3 linked regions of the Drosophila melanogaster genome follow. The protein of the gene in region 1 interacts with the protein of each later gene in a pairwise test. Each region holds a gene or a part of one and is shown on either strand. Other genes may lie near its edges.

Evidence for each region. The genes of interacting proteins can lie anywhere in the genome.
Region 2: the proteins of Hakai (region 1) and CG15865 interact in a two-hybrid assay, tested with the Drosophila melanogaster proteins (one large-scale study listed by BioGRID).
Region 3: the proteins of Hakai (region 1) and CG1314 interact in a two-hybrid assay, tested with the Drosophila melanogaster proteins (one large-scale study listed by BioGRID).

What each region holds. Positions count from the first base shown.
Region 1 is NT_033779.5:19,579,440-19,587,538, forward strand, and holds Hakai (hakai), read right to left. Parts: upstream 3,036-8,099; 5' UTR 2,932-3,035; coding exon 2,568-2,931; intron 2,465-2,567; coding exon 1,917-2,464; coding exon of another isoform or gene 1,893-1,916; exon of another isoform or gene 1,847-1,892; coding exon 1,337-1,846; 3' UTR 1,173-1,336; downstream 1-1,172. Other genes in the region: Pmvk (phosphomevalonate kinase), read right to left, coding at 19-514, 618-691; PCNA2 (proliferating cell nuclear antigen 2), read right to left, coding at 3,587-4,246, 4,381-4,488; CG10366 (uncharacterized protein), read left to right, coding at 4,907-5,113, 5,191-6,476, 6,544-6,787.
Region 2 is NC_004354.4:16,657,994-16,667,411, reverse strand, and holds CG15865 (uncharacterized protein), read left to right. Parts: upstream 1-2,956; coding exon 2,957-3,573; intron 3,574-3,702; coding exon 3,703-6,340; 3' UTR 6,341-6,514; downstream 6,515-9,418. Other genes in the region: r (rudimentary), read right to left, coding at 1-1,377, 2,085-2,224, 6,770-6,874, 6,940-9,418.
Region 3 is NC_004354.4:20,865,085-20,872,606, forward strand, and holds CG1314 (uncharacterized protein), read right to left. Parts: upstream 4,314-7,522; 5' UTR 4,256-4,313; coding exon 3,119-4,255; 3' UTR 2,905-3,118; downstream 1-2,904.

The sequences.
Region 1 (8,099 bases):
AGCCGAGAGGTCCAAGCTCTATCGATACTGCAGCTGCAGCCTATCCAGCAGAATGTCGATGGCCTCCTGGTCGAGTTCCTCGTCGTTGGCCAACACCACGTCGAAGCCGTCGGCCAGATCATCCAGATCGCACTCGGAGGGAACATCGTCTATTCCTGCGGTAAAGGTCCATCCCCGTGCAGACCGCGTTTCTGGACGGGATGTTAGACGCAAGGTGATGACTCGTTCCGGCCCGTAAGTCTCCCGGAACCACCTGATGTCGTTCTTGCGCCGCACATCGCTGACCAGAATGTAGGGCGTCTGCTGGCGACTCAGCGCCTCCTCCATGGCCACGCGGCAGAAGTAGCCGTAGTCCTGGGCCCGCACCTCGTCGCTCCACACAATCATGTCGCGCCGGTACTTCTCCTTGTAGGGTCCATCACCGAGGAGAGCGTCCAGGTCCAACTGCAGCTTGCGAGCCCATTCCGACTTAATGGGCTCTGAGATTCGAACGATACACGACCGGGAGCCCAATCTGGAATGGAATTGGATTTTATTTGTCTGAATATTTCTGCAGCAAGCAGTGCAAATTTAACAAATTGGCAAGATTTCTACGACTAGCTATGCACTGCACCCACCTCCGCTGCAGCCTCTCGGATATGTAATCCTTGCCGCACTTTCGCTTGCCGCTGATGAGTACAATTTTCATCATTTTTCTGGCGCAACTTTCACTTTTGCTCGCCAACTTCTTTCACAACCGCTGCTTCTCCTGCTGCTTCTGCTTGTGGCCTCGATTTCCTAAGTTCTACGCTGTGCTCATCAGATACTGGATGTGGTTGTGTTCACCCTGGGCCCTGCCACTTGACTCCGGCACTGCGGCCTGTTGTGTTTATGCTAATGCTCCATTCGAAGTCTGTGCTCCAAGTCGCATTTGTTTACCTTTTGTATTTCGCTGGAACAGCAACCAGCTGGAGCGTATCGTCATCGATAGGCGGCCAATCGAGCGGGCTTTTTGAATTTCATTCAGCTCGAGTGGAAACCGTACCGTCATCGATTGGCCGCCAATCGGGCGGGATTTTTGAATTTCGTTCAGCTTGAGAACCGCAAAGGTATTCATAAAATTGTTATCCTGATTTGTTCGCCACGATAACCACTTCACTACTACATTAAGAATTAAGTTTAGCCCAAGCTTTAAAACCGGAGTAGCATTTATTTTTTGGTTCGGGTTGGCCTAACCCCGTAAAATATCTTTAATAGTGTTCAGTTCAGCTTAACATACACTTGTTCACTTAATTAAAAGCCTGCGTGCCTGCGTTAAAGCGTCTACCCTGGTTACTAGCCCCTCGCTTTCGTCCCCCTATCTGTAGTATTGCGACTGCTGCCAGTTGCCACTCGAGCCACCAGTTGGCGCGTCGGTGGAGCCTCCAATCAGGGCACCTGGGCCAACAGCGGAATGGCTGCCACTCGGATTGGCGGGCTGTGCTGCTGCTGTTGCCCCACCGCCGGGTGGCCCAGAACCCGGATTCCCGGCCGCACTGCCAAAGGAGGCGAGCACGCTGCTGTAGTAGGAGGCATCCGCCACCGACTCGGACTGGTGGGGCGTGCCCTTCTTGAGCGTGTGGTGCAGCGAGGCCTTGCCCTGGTGACATTCCTGCGCATTGGCATTGTTGATCCTGGTCAAATTGGCCAGCGTGAGCGTCGAGTGGCCGCCGTGGATGGCGTTTTGGGCGGCGGCGGCGGATCCTGGTGGCGGTATACTACCAATACTACCGATGTTACCGACACCGCCGGTCAGTGGCAGCCGCGACAGGACGGGACGGGACGCAATGGAGGCGGAAACGGATATGGGGACAGACGACTCGGAGAGCTGCAAGGGGCAAGCGGTTGTTTTTTTATAGACAGGACAGCTTAGTTTAGGAGCCATAGCTACCACTCGCCTTGCGCTGCTTGTGCAACTCCAGGCCCAGACCGACGCCGCCCAGATCCGTCATTTTTGGCTGCTCCGCCATGGCTGACAGCTGCGGCTGTGGCTGCAACGGTGGCGGCTGCGGCGCCACATGTCTGTGATTGATGTGCGCCTGCAGGTCGCGTTGCGAAAGGTATGTTCTACGGCAGCCGGAGCTGCCGTAGCGACTGCCGCCGTGCGTGCACATGAACACGGTGCCCAGGCCACTCTGCTCCACGCGCAACACCTTGTCCGTGCAGCGGGGACAACTCTTGATGGGCTCGGCGCGGGCGCACTTGAGGCAAAATACATGCTTGCAGGGTATCATGCGGCCGTAGACGAGGATCGGCTTGTCGCACTGATCGCAGCAGTGGATCATCGGGTTCAGCACCTTCTCGCCGATCAGGCTCACCTTGTGGTTCCACTTAAGGCGCAGCATCGGCTCCGGCGGTCCGCGCGAAAGCGTGGTGAAAGTGGGCGCCTCCAGTTGCGATATGTCCGCCTCCATGTCGACTGCGCGGGCGAGAGATAGCGAGATAGCTTTGTTCAATGCTTCAAGTTTGGATACCAAGGAATTGGTCAAGCCAAGATGTTAATCAATTTAACTATCTTGGACAACCATTCAATAGGGGAGGAGACTCACTTGTTTGGCTCATCACGGGCGGTGGCACTTGCTGCAGGACCTGTGGCTGTTGCGTCGCTGGAGTCATGTTCCCGCTGGCGGCGACCGCTCCTAGCGCACCGTGCGGCAGGGGCTCCTCCAGAGCGCCGGGCGTTTCCAGTTCGCCGTCCTTGTCGAGCTCCTGCATGACCGAATCTTCGGAGGCGTCCAGTCTTCCCGGACTGTCCTCCAGGGCTGCACAGCTGCTGGCCGCCAGGGCTGCGGCGTCGGCGATGCTGCTGTCGTCGATTTTCTTGCCACGACCGCGTCCTCGGCCACGTCCGCGCCCGCGAGCCCTGGTGCCACGCCCTCGTCCGCGGCCGCGCTTCACTTCCTCGGTGTCCATTGTTCACTTGTACTTGCGTGGGATTTTATGCCGGTTTTTAAGTTTTTCGGTTTTTGTTTAGCTCCGCATTTGCGTTTGGCCAGGGTTGTCAGCTGTTCCCACATACGTGCAGTAACTTAGGGTGACCAGTCTGCGCCTAACAACACTGGCCATCAAAAGGTCCGGCATCACTGGTCAGTTTAAAATACAATATTTTTACTTGTTTAATTTTAATTTTATCTGTTTTTCAATTATTTTTAAACTAATTTGAATTTAATGAATGTAAAAAAAAACATAAAAAAAAACAATAATTATAAGCATCTATTTAACCGTTCTTGTATCATATTAATAGCTTACTAATTTCTTTTGTAGCTTCAACATGAAAAAACAAAAGTATTCTGAATAGAAAATGTGAGATCTACATTAAGATAACCTTAAAAACTTAATAATAATTAATAACAAGGTTTAAAATTAGTTTTTTCGTATATAAATTTGAATTTGTAAAATGTTTTTTTAATTACAATTAAATAGTTTTTATTACAAGTTATATTTTTATACTATGCTTTAAAAAAAATGATTTTTGGTATTTGTTGCCTAAAAATATCGTTTATCCCCTTTCCTTATGCTTTAAATTGCGCTCGAATTTATGCAATAACTGAGTTGAGTAGTTCTTCAGCTAGAAATCGGGGTCATTCACCTTGGGTGCAAGGTAGTATCGAATGTGGCCGTAATCCTCGATGGGATACTCCACCAGGAGTGGCCGCTCGTCGGACAGGTAGAGCTTGACGCGATCTGCCAGCGGAGTGGCCTTGGTGAAGGTGTTGAGGTAGCGACCGGCGAAGGACTGGGTCACGGGCTCCTGCACCTCAATGCTCACGTCCATGGCGGTGCCCGCACTCAGCTGAATGTTGGCCGTGCCCAGATCTCCCTTGGCCAAGAACCTGATGCCCTTCGAGGAGCAGGCGATCGTCAGGGACTCGTCGAACATGCTCATGTCCCGGCAAATGCGCGCGAACTCTGACGACGGCAACTGGATGAAGCAGGTGTAGTCCTTTTTCGGAATCTCCATGTGATCCTGGTCCAGATTGAGGAGCTTCAGCTCGTAGTCCGCCGTGCGCTCCTTGCCATCCGACTCGAAGCTGAGCGTAATCTTCTCCGGTCTGTCAACGGCCTTAATGGTGACCGCATCGTCGCTATTGGCGCACTTAAGCACCTTGCCCAGGGATTTCAGATCCAAGCCCAGCGAGACATTGCGATCGCAGTGAAACTTTTCAAAACAATCCGAAGCCAGACTTAGGGCCACCAGCGAAACGTGGGAGTTGTCCATCGATTGCAGCTGGAATATAGAGTTGTAAAAGCTTTATTTCTTATCTCAACTTTTCATTTTCAGTCCCAAGTCTCAATGGAACTACTTAACAGCTTTTATGGGAATTCGAAACAAAATGACAGATGGAGGGTTATTCTCTTCACCTCCAGACCATTTTCACTGCAGTCCAGCGTTCCCTGGGCGATGATTTCCTTTAGTGCATCGACGATCTTCTTCAGCAGCAAAGTCTGACTCAAACGCGCCTCGAGCATTTTTCCAATTTTCAAAATTGACAATCGCTGTCCCGTTAAATTCACAATTGGAAACAAACAAAATGAAGCCAGTCAGCTGTTTCGCTGCAAGTGTAGAGATGCCGGACTGCTGCGGAGTTAAGAACAAAGCTTGTTAGATTAGTTTCGGTTGCGGATTTAAGTTCATTTGATGTCTGATGATGAAGCTAGTGAACATAGATCTTAGAATTTGACTTAAAGCTGTAGGTTAATCCTTTTCTATTTAAGGGTATCCAATTGAAATCACTTAATCCGACTGATCTGGCAGCATCTGCAACACTGGTTCCGGCTCCAGTTCTAGTTCGAGATCCAGTTCCAGCTCGGATCCAGCCATCCAATCCAATATGTTTACGCTTTATTTATTTATTTGTTTATTTATAACCAACTGCTGAGCTCCCCGATGGCCGCCGCGCAGGTGGAGATGCACGCTGCTCCGGCGGCTCCCCATGTCGATCGAAATCCCAGCAGCGACTGGCGACAGTGGTGTCGCCTGTGCGCCAAGGACGACGTGCAAGGCAACTTGAATGTGTTCCTCAAGAACGAGGATTCCGGCGAGGCAGCCTCCATGGAACTGGCCACCGCCATTGGCAAGTACTTCTGGGTGAATGTGAGTGCGCTCCTCGTGGCTCCTTGGATTTCCACAAGCTAACCAGCTTATCTTGATTTCTCTTGCCCCATCATCAGATAACTCGAGGTGAAGAGCTGCCGGAGACGATATGCAGTGAGTGCCTGTCGCTGGTCACCTCGCTGGTGAATTTCTCGGAACGGATTACCCGCGTGCAGAAGCTTTACTGCATCCTGCAGAGCACGCCCAGCCAGGAGAGGCCAAATCTCCACGAGCTGCGCTCGAAATTTGGTTTGCTGGACGAGGAGACGCAGACTGAGGTGCACTATGTGGACAAGAAGCCGAAGTTGGATGAACAGCTCGAGTTTCTGCCAGAGGAGTCGCCTTACGAGCTGGCAAACCCACTAACGCCAGAGGAAAAGCAGGAAAGCGTAGATCAGGAGCAGGATCAGCCGACGGAGGAGCCAGATGAGCAGGATGCCGACTACGAACCGAATGAAGATCGTGTACTAATGAGCCTCTGCGATGTGTATGGCATTCAGGAGGATAACTCTTCTGCTGGCAGCTTGGATGGCTCCTCGCCGAGTACCGAAAAAGCTGGAGAGGATGCAGCAGACTCTGAGAAAAGACACCAGTGCAACGAGTGCTTGCGAAGCTACGCCACGTCCAAAACCCTGCAGCGCCACCTGCGCCAGGATCATGGCCAGACTGAGCCCACAACCGAGCAGCTGCAATGCCCGGATTGCCCCAAGAAGTTTCGTCTACACTACCAGCTGGAGAGGCACATGAAATGGCACGTGCCCCTGCCCAAGCGCAAGCAGTACGCCTGTAGCAGTTGCGACAAGAAGTTCGCCACCAGTGCATCCGCCCAGCAGCACGAGCAGTACATGCACCTGGATGAGCGGCCGCGGCCGGTGATTTGCGAGCAGTGCGGTGTGGGTGTGCACTCGATGAGCGCGCTCAAGGAGCACGTCCTCAAGCACACGGACTACGCCCCCTTCGAGTGCGAGGTGTGCAAGAAGTGCTTTAAGTCGGCCAATCGTCTGAAACACCACAAGGAGACGCATGATCCGCACAAGTACATCTGCCCCGAATGCGGAATGCAGCTGAATTCGCGGACCACCTTGAATCGCCATCGACTGGTGCACACGGATCAGATGCAGCACAAGTGCGACTACTGCGGCCGGGAGTTTAAGCGCGCCAAGGCGCTGAAGAATCACCTCATCCTGCACACAGGACTGAAGCCTTACTCCTGCGATTTTTGCGACCGCACCTTTGCCAACGGCTCCAACTGCCGCACGCACAAGAAGAAGTCGCATCCCGAGGAGCTGGCTGCTCAAGAAGCGGCGGGCGGCGGCAGGTCGCACAACAGAAATATACCCAAGCTGGAGGCGCTCAAGGCATTGTAGGTTAACCAAAATCGTACATATAATGACAATTTCTAAATGATTCCATTACAATTCCGTTTGTAGCACCAAGAACAAGGACAATCTGTCGCCGGTGGCCACCAAACAGAGTGGCTGCTTCGCCTTCGGCAAAAAACCGAGGCCAGCCACCAAGGATACTCCAGCTTCGAATCCCGCCGTCATCCAAGATGCTCAGCCTGAACCAGCGCCTGATCCCGGAGGGGAGAACGCCACCCAAGCTGATACCCCAGCTGCGGCTATACCCACGTTAGATAATATTTATAACCATATCATGATCGACTATCGCTGACCCCCCACTTGAGTTCACCCCTTCAAATAGCACAAGTTTGAAGTTTTGTTTCCAAATTCGCCGTATGTTGTGTATTTATAGCTGTTTAAAGATATAGTTGAGATTGTTTTGCATACACTAGAATGTGTAAGTCGACTTAATAATTAATTTAAAGTATATGAGCTAATGTAATTAGAAAGAGAGCTTCTACGGGAAATTAAATATTTTGCTTATGAGTTAGGATCTTTCTATTTCGGGTACATTTTATTGTTTATGGTTCCGGAATAACTCAAGTGCGCGAGCGGGAAAGTGGGATTTGAACGCATCCGTGGATGGCGCATGTGCTCTGGGTTCCGGAGTCGGAATCTGAGGCGAAGCGAAGCCACCCCCATTTGAATCCTGTCCTGGTATAAAGGAATTTAGTTCAGTTGACAGCGTGCGCCTTCTCGTGTCCTGCTCTTGATGAAAACTTTTGCCGAAAACCAGTAAATCGAATTGAAAGCCGTTGAGATGTGTGAAAAGCCCAAGCAAATAATCCCTGAATCCAACATGACCAAATTGGGCAGTAAACAAAGTGTGGAAAAGGAAGTGTGAAGTGCGTCCCTTTACTCCGACGTGCGAGCCGAAAAATCAAAAAAATCGATTTATCCCCCAATAAAAACAAAGTGCACTAAATGCCCCAAAACGAACGATGAACTTCAAATAACCAAATTTGGGCTGCGAAGTGTGAAAAGTGGATTGAAAACCGAAAGCTTTACGAAAAAATAGTCTTTCAATTAAATATTCAGTGAAATTAGTTGAGAGTGGGTGCGAAAATCAAAAGAGCAGGCAAAGCAGCTGACACAAGAACCTAACAAAAGATCAAATCAAAAATACGAAGTGTAAGTAAAAAAAAATGATCTTAAACAAATTGTTAACGTTACGAAAAGTAACACTTTTAAGTAAGTTAAAAGTTCCTGCGCAGCCCTGGTCCGCGACTCCACAGCTGTTTCTGTGCCACCCCATCCCTGGTTTCGGATTTTCGGAATCAGTTCGCTCGCGAACCACACGAAAGAACAACACCAACATCGCTTTGGCTGCGCGAAATTATCAAAAAATTATTGTTTTTCGTCACTCTCAGCTCGTATTTGTTGTGCAAAGTGTTGCTATCGGTGTTCCGAGTACCAGCAAAGTGAGCGTTTTCGAATTGCACCCTGTATATCGAGACTTTTTGTCGGCGTTTTTCCCACTTGTTTTTTACGCACACTACGCGCCACTTGCATGTGTGTGTGTGTGTTTGTGTGTGTGTTTGAGTGTCCGTGTGAATAAAAATCGATTCTGTTGTAAGTTTTTG
Region 2 (9,418 bases), on another chromosome or scaffold:
AAGTTGGCTCCGTCCACAAAGTGCACCTTGGTCGATATTCCATGTACGCCTCCACCGGGTCCTTCGGAGGTGAGGAGGCGGGTAAAGGTGTCATTGGCATCGTTGTCGCTGGGCAGCAGATCCTGTGATGCCTCCGACGCCAATGGACTCTGTTTGGGGCGCACATTCTGCCCGAAGCCGGGCTGCACCAACACTTGGCCATCGACGAAGGCCACCTCGCCGCGAAGAACCACCCGGTGGACGCGTCCCTTGACCTTGGTGCCCTCAAATGGTGTCCAGCCGGACTTGCTCTTCATCTCATTGCCCGTTATGGTCCACTCCTCGTCGAGATCCACCTCCACGTAGGTCTGCGCCTGATCCGGCAGGTTGAAGATGATTTTTGGATTGCGATGGAACTTCCTCTTGATGTCCTCCATCGTCAAACGACCCTCGTGAACAGCCTGCAGGAGGAGCGGCAGAATGGTCTCCACGCCCGGAAATCCAGGCGGTGGACGCTCCGAACGTTTCTCGGCCAGTGTGTGTGGCGCGTGATCGGTGGCAAATACATCGATGTAATCAATATTCTCCCACAGAGCCTCTTGATCCTCCGGTGAGCAGAGCAATGGCCTTACCTCGGACATTCCGTGACCCAAACGCTCCACATCCTTGGTGCTGAGGAACAAGTGATGGGGGCACACCTCGCAGGTCACCTTGACGCCCTTTTCCTTGGCGGAACGAATCAATTGGATCTCCTCCTTTCGCGCCACATGGCAGATGTGAACCGAACGGTCGAGAAGATGGGCCAGCATAATCACAGCCGCTGTGCTCTGCCTCTCCGCATGACAAACGATGGGAGACCGCTTGGGCCAGTGGCTGAGATGCCTCTGCCAGCTGGTCATGTCGCTCAGTTTTAGGGTGCCGAAAGTGTCGTTTAAGTACATCTTAAGGCCACACGCATGACTGGCCAGCTCGTTGACCTGCGCCCAATTGTCATCCGAGGCCCCCACATACAGGGCATAGTCGCATCGAGCTCCCGCTTTGGCCAGCTCCTGGAACTGGGTGAACGTCTCTCTGTCCACGATCGAGGGATTTGTATTGGGCATGGCGCACACGAGGGTCACGCCGCCAGCCAGAGCGGCTGCTGTTCCACTGGCAAAGTCCTCCTTGTGCGTGGCTCCCGGCTCCCGCAAATGCACATGCACATCGATGAAGCCCGGCAGCTTCACAATTCTACGCGAGGTCATACAATCCGTGTGCGTCTTCATTGGCGGCTTGCCACCGTTCATTCGCATTGATTCTACCAGAAGCTTGGTGCACTTCACATCGGTCACCAGCGGAATGGAGTAGTCCACGGCCAGGCGACGGGTGCGGTAGCCATGGGTCATGAACGAGGAGACCCTGGAATAGTATCAGGAAATCACATTTACTTGGAGATACATATGTACATATAATCAAAAGGCACTGCCTTAAAACTAACAACTATTAATTCTTCAACTAATTGCTCTAATTTTAAAAATAAGAGAATAGCTTGCGTAAAAACACACGGATAAACTGACATACGGACATGACAAGATATACTTTTTAGGTTTGGAACTGTCTTCAATTTTATAAAAAACACTAAAAATATATCGTTCGGATATCAGTTTTACTCCACACAAACGAAAATTCTTTGCACTCAGTTATAAGTACTTTGCACTCCAATTGGACTTTAAAGAAAATATAAATAACATTTAAGATGTCTGAGCCAGATAAGAAATGGAATTAAGACAAGCCCTTTTTATAACTTAATAACTTAAATTATATGCCAAATTGTTGTGCAAACTGTGTTCAAGGCCCAAAAATTCCAGTGACTAACATTTGTTTGAATATTGAATCATTAAGTCGTTAATACCCCTGAAAACAGAACTTTTATCAAAGTAGGTTAGCTATATAAATATGCATATCCGCTACAAGAAATATGTTATATATGTTTTATAGGTAAACACAATTAGAAAACAAATACTATTCGCACTTGCAGACTTCTTCCTGAAGTTCCATGGATCACCAACTTAGTGGCATATATATTTGGGGGCCATTAAAAAGAGTCACCATCGAATCGTACTCACCGCCTGGCACCCCCGCCGCTCATCGGGAGGTTGATGACCAGGTCGAACTGCTTGTTGGCCAGGAACTCGGCCAGGTGTCTCAGCTCACCGTTGATGTCATCGGGAGTCGTCTTGTCGAATGTCCACTGCACGGATTCCACCTGCAAGGGCAAAAGCACACATATATACAATATTTACTCGTACATAGACATAGATCATATACAATGGTATATATATATATATATATATATAGAGAATGCGACCGACCGATCATCACCAAGGCCACATGTCATCGTCATCCGCGCCACCAACTCTACTTCCAATCAATTGTTTGCCCAGAGTACACCATATAGATACCATTATTTATGGATCTTTCATGTCTACATCGAAGACAATAGAGCAACAGGCCATGGCAATGGCACAGTGGTGCAGATATGTACGATCTTACACAATAATTCCAAATAAATCGAACTTTGAACATTTGATATGTGAATAGTGGTAATAAGATATATTCAATCGAACTAAGAGTGCAATCAGAAGAAAATCTTAAGTTACTATTTTAAGATAAGAATTCAATAGATCAATTTTTATATTATATTTCCTTTGAAGACCATCTATTTTAGACGCCTCCTTGAGTTTTTTGTCTGTTTGTGCGGCACAGTGAAGTGGAAATCAATTCCGTTTTCATGGAAGCACCAGGAACTGGCTGATAATGGATAATTGGGCCGAAGGAGGTGGTGGCCGGAAGAGTCGTTCAGCTCTTATCTTTCCGATTGCCATTACTAGATCGCAGATCGCAGGTAATTGGTAATTGGTGATTGGTGAACTCCGATCGCAGATTGTACACTTTATCAGCCGGAATTCAGTCACAAATCAGCGATCGTCCGTTGAGTATGGGCTGCTCCTGGTCGCGATCCGAGCAGGTGGATTCCAGTGCCACGCCCAATGCCCTGCAGGCGGGCATTCCCGCCCAGCGCCAACAGAGGAGGCGGCGCCAAGAGGAGAAGCATCTCCGCCAGCTGCAGAAGCTCCAAAAGCGTAACGCGCGTAAACGTCGCCGAAAGAAGGGCGCAGGATCTGGATCTGCCAGCGCCGGAGGATCTTTCCTCGGTCGTGGTGGATCGATTCACAGACGACACATCAACGGAAAAAGCCATCCTGATCTCGCCCTGCAACTGCGTCTACTGGGCGGCAGCAATGGAAGCACGGCCACCGAATGTGTCAGTGCCCTGTATGCCAGAACATTGGAGCAGCAGCGCGAGGAGTTCCAGCGGACCGTGGAGCAGAGGACCCTACACCAATTGGACCGCGAACTGCACACCTTCCTGCTGAACCAATTGCTTCTGGGTATCCAGTTCTTTGGGCACTTCGAGGCCGAGATGGCCGTGGTCGATGCCCAAATCGTGGCCAGGCGACGCAACTGCTCCGCCGAAAAGCTGGCCGAGCACAGCTTGCTCCAAAGTAGCGCCATCGATGCAGCTGTCGCCAGGAACCTGCTCTTCAAGCCGCCGTAAGTCTTTTCCTTATCCTCTCTCCATACTTTCTAGATTTTTCTATACTTTTTTGCCTACATTTTATGATCTTCTCTTTTTTCATTTTAAAATTGGTTTTTAATATATGTATTTATAACCGATTTCAGATCTTCGAAGAGTCCACCACAGCTGCTGCAGAAACCCGTGACCTATGTGGTCTTTGAGAACGTTGACGTGGCGCGACCCCACGATGCCAACTACGACACCGTGGCGGCACTGTGCAAGGTGCTCCTGGAGACGGACTACTACCGGACCACGCCCTGCCCCTCGGAGCTAGTCAACTTGATGGAGATGACCAGGTGGATGGGCTATGTTCGCCTCAAGCTGCGCGACCAATTGCCGCATCCGCAGGCGGGCACGCCCACTAGCTCCAGCTTATCTTTGCCGGCCAGCAGCGATGAGGAATGCATCTACGGTGATGTGGGATCCTCCGCATCCAACTCCCCATCCTCGGGCTACAGTTCGGGGGACTACGATTATGTCTACTTGGCCAGGTTGAATACTCCGCGACCGCTGGAGGAGCTGCGATTTGATCGCGATTTCAATTTCCAGAGGAATGTCCTACCTGGGAATTGCATTCGCCGTTTGGCCAATTGTCTGCCTCCTTGGCTAGAGCAAACCGACGACGAGGAGTCATCCTCCGCCGCCTCCAGCAGTGACGAGGACGAGAAGGATGAGGCGAATTCCGATAATCGCAAATATCCACCGGCTGGCTATGAAACGGTGGAGGTGCTTCGCCAGTGTCATGTGGAGCAACTGCAGCAGTGCTACCTCAGTTCGCAGCAGTTCATGTTGTACTTTGGAGAGGTGCTGCGTCATCATTTGGCTAACCAATTGGGCATCAGCCAATCGCAGCTGGCCGCGTGTTCGTATCGCGGCTGTAGTGTATATACCGCTCGCGAGGAGCTGGTGCCCGCCATTCATGTGCCCAATTCCTGGCCGGATTGCGCCTTCGAGTTTTGGCTGAGGGCTCGTCCTCGTTTGACCAACCTCCATACTGCCGAACAATTCCAATGGCCAACGGAGCAGATGAAAAAACGTATTCGATCCATGGGCTTCCATGTTGTACCAGTGGGCTATGCACCAAAGCGTTCGCGAAATCCCTTCAGGGAACTGGAATGGCGCATTGTCTTTCCCCAGGCGGAACAGTTTCTCGAGCGGCACTGCCTGACGCCCATGCAATTGAAGGTGTTCCAACTAATGAAGCTGCTGGTCAAAACCTTTGTGGACGAATCAACCACATCCTGTGACCAATCCCCGGGAGCTTTGCTCGAACAGCTGAGAGCCCATATGTTTTGGCAATGTGAGCAGCACAGCAATGATTGGCCAGAGGAGTTTCTGGGCGAGCGATTGGTTCGATTCATTCGCTCCTTCGACGCCTGTTTGGCCAAGAAACACCTGAGCGACTACTTCATTGAGCGGCGCAATCTATTCGAGCATATCCCAGAGGATACGCTGATGAAGCTGCGCAGCATAATGGCCGGAATTGCGGAACAACCGCTGCTGCATGTCATCCAGGCACTGAGGAATCTTCAGCACGCGCCGGAATTCTACCCGCAACTGGAGTACAAGCGACTGTTGGAGAATCTCTTTAGCCAGGATTACCTGGAGCTGCACGGACGGGGCAAGTTCTCGCGTCCACGTCAGGGATTTCCCGCTCTGCAGAACTGTGAAGAAAACAATGGCGGGCAGCAGGTGGAAACGAAAAAAAAAACCGAAAGGACGGAGATCACCGATGCCAAGGGACTCTTGGGATTGGCTCAGCACCAGGAGCGCTCGAGAGGAAAGCTGCGCAGGAAGACACAGCTCTTAAGGGCCACGACTCAGCAATTTCAAATCTCGGCGACGGAACAAAGACGTTGCTCGCTCGACTCCCTGGATCGCCAATTGCTATTGGCACGCTCCAATCCGGAAAGTTCCAAGAGCCAGGAAGCAGCGAAACCGCAACTGAACAACGGCTTGGAGATCCTGCGAAGGAGCAATCTGATCGAACTTCTGCTGGATCATTCGCTGGCCATGTTGGCTCGTGCCATTCGGTTTGGCAACCGTGGACATGCACAGCTTTATCTGGAGCATGGGCAAAGATTGTGCCGCCTTTATCAGCACCTCGGTTGCTCGCAGCAGGCACAGCACTTCGTCCAGGAACTACAGAACGCAGCCAGCGATATGGAACGCATGTGTGAATCGCATATACCAACGTCATCGGGCGGCAGTCCCTCCACGGTGGTTGAATCTCCGCCAGCGCCAAGGAAATCCATCAAGTTCCAGGAGCATGTCGTGCAGATACACACTCCAGAACCGCTGGCCATGCAGAAGCATATGCCCCATCTGGAAAACCATCAGCTCAATGGGATTCTAAGAGCTCACCACCAAGAGGATGCGAACGCCATTGAACCCCTACAGGAGGAGGAGATCAAGAGCGCGTTGCTTCGGGAAATAGAAAGTCGCATAGAAGAAAAACCCAATGTCCAAAGAGATAGAGAACCAATAGATTCTCCTGAAGTGGATAGCCTTAAGCCGCAAACGGGAATCAAATCAAAATCGGAGGAAACAGCCAAGGAGGAATCATTTCTCTCGCTAAACGGAATCCTTCAAAGGCTCTCCCTCGACACGGATAAGGTGCAAATGCTGGGCAGCAAAACGGAGCAACTGGTCCAAAGAGTAGCCCCATCCGAGGCCAAGCGGGATGAACTCAAGGAGATCCTCAAGCGCAACGCACAGAAGCTCAAGGGCGCATTCAACTAGAGACACTAAAGATAATACTACCATATAGTAGCCAAATTGCTAAATCCCGGCGATTAGTGATATATTGATATATTGATAACAGATAAACCAGTTGTGATAAGGGCGGTTAGAGATAGAGATAGAAATATATATATAGTTATGGGCCATAATTATTGTCCATACCATGTGCGCCATATATATTTTCGTAATTAGTAATCTTGAAATCAACGTAATTTCTCTATGATAATAATGTTATTGAATTTGTAAACCAATGTCATGGAAAATAAATAATGCAATATAAACAACCGTTCAATTTGTAAACCAAGTCAGGGAAAACAAATAGTAGGAAATGAGTATTGAAACTACTCAACTTTGTTGACTCGCATCTCCAATGGATTTTGATTAAAGTTGCATGATATACAATAAGCACACAGACATAAATATACTCACATTAACTCCGTGTTCGGCATAAAAGTCGCCAGTGCCCATGGAAGCGTATAGCTTGTAACCCATCTTGGCCAGATCCCGTATGGAAGGCAGCAGCTCCATCTTGTGCTGCAGATGAATGGAGTTATTAATGGAGTAACTAATATCAATAATCAATGGAGTGGCCAACAAACCTTGAAACTGCCAATGGAGAGAAGTACGGCGTTCTTGGGTATCTGGAAGCCCGTGGACATCATGGCCTTGAGATACGCCTCATAGCGGTTGTCCCCGAAGCAGGCAACCTCACCGGTGGAGGCCATCTCGACGCCCAGCTGTACATCCGCGCCCGCGAGCCGCGAGAAACTGAACTGTGGCACCTTGACGCCCACCTTGCCGACGCCATGGAGCACATCCAGTGGCTCCACATCGAGTCCCACAATCGCACGCGTCGCCGTGGCCACAAAGTCGTGGTCCAGCGTCTTGGAGACGAAGGGGAAGGATCGCGACACACGGACATTGCATTCGATGACCTTCAGCTCGTTGTTCTTGGCAATTAGCTGCATGTTGAAGGGACCGGTGACATCCAGTACGCTGGCCAAATCGCATGTGATCCGTTTAATGGCCTCCAGGGTCTCCGCATTCAGATCCTGCGGTGGGGTAACCAGCGTGGCATCACCTGAATGCACTCCGGCATTCTCCACGTGCTCCGAAACAGCCATGCACAGGATGCGTCCATCGGATGCCACTGCATCCACATCGATCTCCTTGGCCTCGGTGAGGAACTTCGAAATGACAACCGGATGCTCGCGACTCACCTCGGAGGCGGCGTTCAGATATGTCTCCAGATCCTGATTGGAATAGGCCACATTCATGGCCGCACCGGAGAGCACATAGGATGGCCTAACCAGACAGGGATAGCCAACCTCCTCGCAAAATTCGATGGCCGACTGTAGGTTGGTCAGCTCCTTCCAGCGTGGCTGCAAGATACCCTTCCTGTCCAGCATGCGCGAGAATTTAAATCGATTTTCGGCACAGTCGATGGACTCCGGCGATGTGCCCAACACCTTCGCCTGCTGGCGATGCAGATCCATGGCTATATTGTTGGGCAGCTGGCCGCCCATGGACAGAATGATGCCCTCGCTATTCTCCATCTCGTAGATGTCCATGACCACCTCGAAGCTAATCTCCTCGAAATACAAGCGATCGCACATATCGTAGTCGGTGGAAACCGTTTCAGGATTGTAGTTAATCATGATGGTGGGTCGCTGTAGCTTCCTCAATTCGCGCAGGCAGCCCACGGCACACCAATCAAACTCCACTGAGGATCCGATACGATAGACGCCCGAGCCCACCACAATAGTGTGTCCGCCGGGGAAGTCCACATCGTGCTCGCTTCCGTTATATGTGTGGTACAGATAGTTGGTACTGGCGGGCCATTCGCCGGCCACCGTGTCGATCTGCTTGACATGCGGGCGGATGCCAAACTCCTGCCGCTGGTGACGAACAGCCAGCTCCGTGCTCTTAATGTACTTAGCTATCTGCTTGTCCGAAAAACCAAAACGCTTGGCCTTCAACAGCAGAGCGGCATCGGTTCGACTGCCATTACGGGTGAGCAGGGACTGCAGTAAGATGATCCTTTCCAGCTTTTCCAGAAACCAATAATCGATATTGGTTAGTTGATGCAGCTCCCTAAGGCTCATGCCCAATTGCAAAGCAGCGGCAATGACGAAGGGACGACGATCCGTCGGCTCCGAAAGCTGCTCGGCCAGCTGCTCCTTGTTAAGCGGAACCACATCCGGATCAAAGCCAAGCACATCGCTGTCCACCATGCGCAGGGCTTTTTGGAACGCTTCCTCGAAGTTGCGACCGATGGCCATCACCTCACCGACACTTTTCATCGAGCTGCCAATGTGCTTGCTAACCCGCACGAATTTGGCCAAATCCCAGCGTGGAATCTTGACCACACAGTAATCGAGGGATGGCTCAAAGCAGGCCGTCGTATTGCCCGTCACCGAGTTCTTGATATCTGGCAGGGGCAATCCCAAAGCCAACTTGGCGGCCACATAGGCCAGTGGATAGCCGGTGGCCTTGCTGGCCAACGCGGAGCTGCGCGACAGTCGGGCGTTCACCTCGATAATGTAGTACTGCTCCGAATGGGGACACAAGGCGTACTGAATGTTGCACTCGCCAACGACACCAAAGTGACGGATAACCTTCAGGGCGGTGCTGCGGAGCATTTGGTACTCGCGATCCGAGAGGGTCTGCGATGGGGCCACCACAATACTCTCGCCCGTGTGGATGCCCAGGGGATCGAAGTTCTCCATGTTGCATACGGTAATGCAGTTGTTGTAGGCATCGCGCACCACCTCGTACTCCACCTCCTTCCAACCCTTCAGGGATTTGTCCACAATTAGTTGGCTCGAGTGGGCCAGTGCCTGTTGGGCCAGGCTCTGCAGCTCCTCCTCGTTGTTGGCGAACCCGGAACCCAGTCCGCCCAGGGAGAAGGCAGCACGGGCCATCACCGGATAACCCAAGCGACTGGCCGCATCCAGTGCCTGGGCAACGGAGTACACAGCCTCAGATGGCGCCACCTGCTCGCCAATCTCGTTGACCCGCTCGGCAAAGAGCTTGCGATCCTCCGTCTCGATGATCGACTGGATGGGTGTGCCCAAA
Region 3 (7,522 bases), on another chromosome or scaffold:
TTTCACACTCTTGCATTATTTATGCAGGCCACCATTCGTGCGTGAGTGTGTGTGTGTGTGTGTGAGCCATGTACGTGCCTCGAACTGCAACGACAGCTGCTCCTGCCCCAGTTACCCGGAACCAGGATTCTGGATCCTGGATCCAGCGCCCAGTACCCAGGATTCAGAATCCAGAACCCAGAACCCAGAATCCAGCCTCCACTTTGGGACCCTGTGTGCGCATATATATTTATTCCATGTACATATTGTAAGTGCCCCATGCCTCGTGTCAAACTTCTAATTAACCTCGTAATTCATGCAGCTTGCACGTCGCAAAAGAGCAGAGGTCCGGGGAAAAGGACACGGGACGCAGGTCTGAGCACTCCGGACAAAGGGTGACTGCTGCCGTTTATTGTCCTGCTCCTGCTTCTGCTCCGGCTCCTGCGAATGGCGGAGCACTGGAGCTGTGGAGAAACGTGGCCGGGCAAGTGACCCAGAAAGTACCAGTAACCAGCAATAAATGGCAATATTTGATGGATTACTTGAGCGTTACTTTGACTTGCCAACGAAAAGAAGAGTATAATTTTATCGTGTTTGTGGGCGGACGTTGAATGAATAAGTAATAGATTCAATTTTATTTTCTGTTGCTAATAAACATAAATTATTTTAATTGTGTAAGAGTACTTATTTACTTACAAACCTAATACGACTATGAGACTTGATACAATATATATTTTACATGCACATTAGATCACAACGCAGTTGAATAGTAAAGTACTTGCAAGAAATGCTTTAATGCATTAAAGTAAATTAATCAGAGCTTGATGATTTAATTGTTTTGGCAATTATTTACGCACGCAATCAGAAACTGAAATTGTTAGTTAAAGTTTAAACAAATACGTGTATACATACGTATTACGTATCCATATTAAACAATAGATTTCGAAACCCTTCACTTACAGCGATCCTAAAAAGTAGGCAACATTTTCGTGCGAACTCGCTCCTGTTTCTGCCAATGCAAATTGAAAATACATTATTTAATTGGTTAGTTGGCCTGTTCAAGCGAAAAACAACAAGCCATGAAAACAAATAAACATAAATTGAATGCAATTGTATGATTAATTGTTAAGGGCCAGCAAGACAGCCGAACAAATTTCAATTTGTACAGCAATTATAGCCGAATGTTGCGCCAGTTAAGTTCGCAAATATACAAATTAAGCTGAAACAATAATTAAAGCCAGCCATCTGATTGTCGAGCCATATTTCAATGCTCACAGCCGTGGCTGCAAACTTCTCAGACTCACTGCCCAATCAAATGCTCAATTGCCACTTATTCTGCGGCTGCCCCTGGACAACATCAAACCACACCACTTAATTCTCCGAAGACCAGACTAGACAAAAAGTAGAATGGCTGTAAAGGGGTGGGGTGGGGGGGGAGGTTGTTCGAACAAAGGGAGACGCAAAGTCGTTATTGTCTTAGTTTTATTAAAATGCGTTCTTTTTATTTTCGGGCGGAAAACAGCAACTTTCCCGGGCAAAAAATTGTCAAAGGCAACGGCCAAAAATGGAACTCTGGCAACAGCCATTTCTGCCAATTTGTGTGCAATTTAAAGTGTCCGAAGGGGGACCCTGTGCTCCGTGGTACATACACAAAAAGTTGGCCACTATTTTACCGTGGTTCTTCGGGGCGTGGCGATGGGGACGGGACCGGGGTCAAGGGGTCCAAAAACTTGGCAGACACGGACACAGATGAGCAGACCGCAATGGAACTGACCGCGGGGATTCACTGACCGAAAAGAAGAAAGCAATCTAGCATCGCAAAATATAAGCGAAAAGGATTGGGTCCTTAAATGGGTATTCTCTATTTACAATATTTTTGTTTTTGCGGCGGCATAAAAATTGTAGTGACAGCCTTATATCAATGTACTTGATCGTTGTCACTAATCTACGATTACGTTCGTTAAACCGAAAACCGAAACCAATCCTGTTCGGGCGGATATTCGTATTACTTGAAACAGGTCGACCCATTTCTCTCAGTGCTCGGATGCATTGCTCATAAAGCGTTCAGCGGCCCTGGCACAAATGGTGCGGGGGGTGTAGTCCTCTTCAGGGGGGTAACACTGCTGCATTAACGCTGACCGAAAAATCTCTGCAGCTGAAGTTGAGCTTACATTTTCTTTTTTTTTTTTTTTTGCAACCGAATAAAAAGGACAGAAAAGTATTTCGCGGACAAAGCAGCCAAAACCACCTCCGCCCACCCCCGGCGGTGCTGTTGCAACAATAACGGTACATTACAAGTGCCAGGCAAAAGCATCGAGTTAGTTAGTTTGCCGCCACAAGTCCCCTTGGCCCCTCTCCACAACACCCCTGTTCACAATTTCTGCGGTCTTGTTAGTCTGGGCTGGCAAGTTGGTTAAAAAGTTGTTGATGCAGTTACTCCTCCTTCTGCCCGCCACGCCCCCTTTTGCGACGACATTTGTGCTAATGGCTGCCAACGACCTGGACAGCAAAACCGAACAGCCCTTGTCCCCCTCTTTTACGACGCCCCTGCCCCACATGGCAAACATGTTGCATACGCTGCGGCGTAAGCGAAAAATTTCCAGCGAACAGCTTTTTGGCCAAGCAAACACACAGCGGGTTAAGTGGGCGAGTTTGCCACAACATTTGTGTTCAAGAATAATTAAATTAAGCTGTCAGTCTGACCGAGAAAATTGCAAATACACTCAACATTATGATGCACTTTCAAATGTACACATACCATACATACAAGTTTGAACTCAAAGGGCCGATTTAATGGCAGTTCGAAACTATTATTTATTTTATTTTATTATCGACTAAACAATTAATTATTTAAACCTATTGAACGATGTAAATGGCACTTTCAAACTAATTTGTCATCGCATTAATTAATAACAATTTAATTTTAGTTCTAATAAGGAATTTGATCTTTACTGATACAATTTTGATGAAAATTTACAAGATTGCATATGTTGAATTGCTTATGAGATATGGTATTTCGTCCAAGTACAAAGTGATCCAAAATAATTTAAAAAAACTTGAAACAATTTTTAGGTACAGTATCAAAGTAATGCAAATAATTTTGAAAAATCATTCCAAAAATCATTGTGATAGACTGCGTTTAGTTCGCTTGAGGCCCTTCTGAGTTCCCAATAAATACCTCCTCCTTGGAGGTATTCTCCTTTTCCGCAAGTTCTATTTCGATGTCGTCTTCGCGAAAGGTGCCCTCATTAGGATTAGGCGATATGGGCCCCACTCTACCCTCATCCTCTAGAATGGTGAACTGTAGGTCGACGTCCAGCGTGTAGTCTTCAGTGTGCTCCTTCATTTCGCGATGTGTGAATCGCATAAAATGCGGACTGTCCGAAAGCAGATCGCAATTCTTCAGGGTCTCCGAGCCTTGACAGGTCTGAATCATCTGCCGACGTGGCACTCCCGGAGTGTTTTCTCCGATATTCACGGATACCAACAAAGGCGTCTGGGCCTGGGGACAGCACAGCCACAGAATATAGATATGGGTCACTCGCGGTCCGACGGGCATCGAGTCCCAGGAAGTCTTCCACAGCATTATCAGGACGGGCAATTGGCACTCCCAGTCCTTGTAGATATTGGGTAGATTTAAGTTCCTGGTCGCGTTGTTGCCACTCTCGTAGATCATCAGACCCACACAGTTGCTTTTGCCCCTGTCCTCGGGCAAGGATTTTCCACACAGCTTCAGAACCTTTGGCTCCTTGGGCTTCATTTCCATTGTAATAATGTGCTCGTGGTGCATCAGGCAGTGACTTAGGAGCTGCTCAGGATTGAACATCAAGTCGCAATTGCTCAGCGGACAAGCCATGTCCAGCTTCTGCAATCTCCAGTATTTGCGCACCTCGACTGCAGTATTTCTCAGCCGCTCATAGCGAATTTCCGGAGAACTGATTCTGCCATGTGGGGAAGCGGAAATGGCTTCTGCGCCGCCGCGCATGGGCACTCTTCCGCCCGCCGGAAGAGACAGCTTGCAGTCCATATACAAGCGCCTACGGTGATCGGGCATCAAGCTGGTGAAGCAGATCTCCACCTCCTCATCGGTATCATTACCATCGTTCTCGTTCTCCAGACGACATGCACTCGCCATCACAGCTTCCGGCGTGGTGTCCAGGGAGTACTCCGACTGAGCGAGATCCAGGACGGCAGATATACCAATGCCAGACTCGGAGCACCTACAGAATGCACCGGATGTCGATGGTTGCTCGCCCTCGCAATTGTTGTTCTCCATTTAGGAATTTTTAAGAAAATGTCGGTTTTTTTTTTTTGTGATTATAATTCTGTGTGAGTCGAACTGTTGACGTCTCGACGTAAAATTATACTGATGACAGAAGGTTAGAACAAATGAAATCAACTTTTGATTACTTATTTCACAAACTACTTGTTTATTTTTTTTTTCTAACGGTTTCAAGTTAATATTATGTGATTCTTTTAATGAGTTCCATGACGGAGTCACGAGCGTGGAATTATCGTCTTTAGAAGAGATTCCTAGACTGCAACTGAGACAATGCTATCAAAACTCTGGAGAACATTTTGTTGCATTTGTAATTTCCGGTTTCGCACACACATGCATACATAGTTGAAAAAGAAAATGCGAAAGAAAAATGTGTCAACATACAAGACAAAGCAAAACACAAACAAAACTCAAGTTGCCTCTGTAGAACAACGAAATGCAACTAGGGGTAAAAAGGGGGGAGGGGGAATCGCTTCCAAGGGAGAGGGCAACAGTCGGACTAGGACTGCAAACTCCCTGTGGCCACCCCCCTCCCACGCCACTACTTTCGTCCACCTCCCACTGGCAACTCCTTTAGTTTCAAATCGACAATGGAATGAACCGCCGCAGAGGAAGTGCGGTCTATTGCAGTAAAATCGGAGTTCAATCAACATATGTCAAGACCTTCAATAAATTTAAAAGATTATGACTGATTAAATCAAAACAAATTTTAAACCAATTTCATAAACCAATTTCATAATAACACTGATTATTTGGATAGCTTTTGTTAATTTATTCACTGTAATATGTATTAGATATTTAAAAACTTCTGTATAGCAAGTGTATATTTAAATTGATTCCGATTGTAATTTATTTAAGCTAATGAGGACAAGATGCATGAAGAGATAAAAACATAAATGAAGAACGTTATTTCAATTAATAAGTATTTTTTGGGACCTTTTATACATTTATGTCGCGCAACTTGGTAACAATAATAAAAACGAGCTGAGTCACGTGCTCGCGCCGTTTGTTTATGGCTTTCTCCCTTTTACTTCGCTTTTACTTCATTAGTTTCGAGGGGAAAACTCCACCTCTCTTTCCTTAGCCATGCTCCCTGGGTTTTCCGCTCTTCCCACTTGGTATCGCTTTTCCTTTTCGAGCTTTTGAGCTGCAATTGTCAGCTTACAGTGCAGCCAACCGCAAATGGCAAACAGGCCAAAGCCGCTGTATCTCTAGATTCGATGATATCTTTAAGACGGATTTTCATTGCTTACCGTTTGCTTTAATTGAGTTTTTACAATTTGATATCTACCTAAAAGGAAAGTAGCCTTCTTCATCATAAGCAACCCTCACCTGAAACAAATAAGAAAACATTTTTGTCAGCGAATCAGCATTCAAGAAGTGCTTGTATTAAGAACCAACAAGGAAAGGATTTTAAAAGGTCAATTGAAGAAAATTCAACTTTGAGCTCGCACATTTGCACGCACACAGACCCCCGGGATGCAGTGGGGTTAAGCGAAGGGTTCATAAGGCACATATCCACACATAAAGATTTCCATTTCCCTGCTGCTGTCTTGACAACAACCCAGACAACAATGTGTAAAACAATTGTGCTCGCAGTTAATTTGTGTGGTACGACAATCTAGTATCACCTCAGCACTCGAAGAAAAAACGCGCAGAACATGGGTTCTCTTATCGAAAAGGATGGAATATCGACAAGGAACCATATATTGAGCAAAGTAAACTGCGCTAATATTGTCATTATCTCCAAAGTTTATTAAGCATTTAATGATTTTAATTGCGAATATCGCCTGAAATTTTGTTCGCTTGCTGAATGCTCAGTGTATGCTGTATGATAATATTACTGCGAGTGACACTCGCACACATGGCGTATACGCAATGTGCCAAAGTTTATACGAAATTAATGTTAATTACGACGCGAGTATAGCTATCCATCTCAGTCGCACGGTCGTGGCAGCATCTGTGTCCTGTCGGGAAGTGGGCGGAAAGTGTGGGTGGGAAATGGAAAATGGCAGGGAAATGGGGAATGCAATTTGCCAGCAGCGCATTTAACAAGCTGAACGCGCTTAAGCCGAAGGATTCAGCATCGAATGAGTCGACAAAAGTGCATCGAATCGTCCTGAAAAGGAATGATTAATAACCGTAATCGATAAACGTGAAAAATTGATGCGTGATGGATGCACGAATTACGAATGAGTCCGTAAATTAAAACTCGTGGTACATATGTATATTTTCCACAGCAATAAATTTTAGAAAGAGGGGAATCCTTCACGAAATCATTGTGGTAGTTATTTAAATGTTGCAAATGAACGAGGAGAGCAAAATCTTTTGACAACAATTTCCGCTTGGCCACTGATTAATTGTAGAATTAACTGAACAACAGGCCTCATACAATTTCGCTTATAACAATAGCCCGAATCATCGCTCATCTTTATCGGAGCAATCAATCGAATTCACCTTTCGGCATGCCGATAAATCCCGCTTAAGCCATTCGGTTGCACAAAGGCAGGCAATTTTTCGTGTTTTATTTTTTCTTCTATATGTATTTTTCTCTATTTATTCTCCGCCTTATTTTGTTTGCTGAATTGAACAACTTGTGCCAGATGCGGGGATTCCCATGATCCAAGGAAGGAGCTCCCTCGCCGTTTGCCGTGATGTGGCACAAATGGCAATGCGCTTAACGTGTTTCGTGTTGCTTCTGCCGCTGCTGATGATGCCGCTGCTGTTACTGCAATGCAACAAAGGCAGCCGTGCCACGCCCCTCACCCACAACGCGTCCAGAGGAGACACCTTGGCACCCACGCACAGACACAATTTATAAAAGCCACAACAAATGTCTGAGGCTGTAAACTTTCCGTAAATCTTTGCAGCAATGTCTGCCAGCGGCAGCAGCAGCAGAAACAACAGCAACACTGGCTGCAACAGCAACAATAGAAGACAAGGACGATGACGACGACGATGACGTCGTCACGCGGATGTTTCGACGCGACTCTGAAGGATTTTCATGGCTGGTAGCTAAAGCCTTCCCCGTTTCTCCAACGTTCCCTCTTGCCGTTGCTGCCGTGCACGTATGTTCTGCTGATGTTGCCGCTGCGCTCGGTGGCTTGTGTTGCATGTTGCCGTCAGCATGTCAGAGCCCCCAACACGTTGCAAAATGCGCTTACACACATGTAAGCACATGTTGGGGCAGAAAACGCAGCTAGAGTCGCCCTTTAAGTGCCCTTTATGAGCGGGAAAATTTCGTTCTTATAATCGTAGCACATT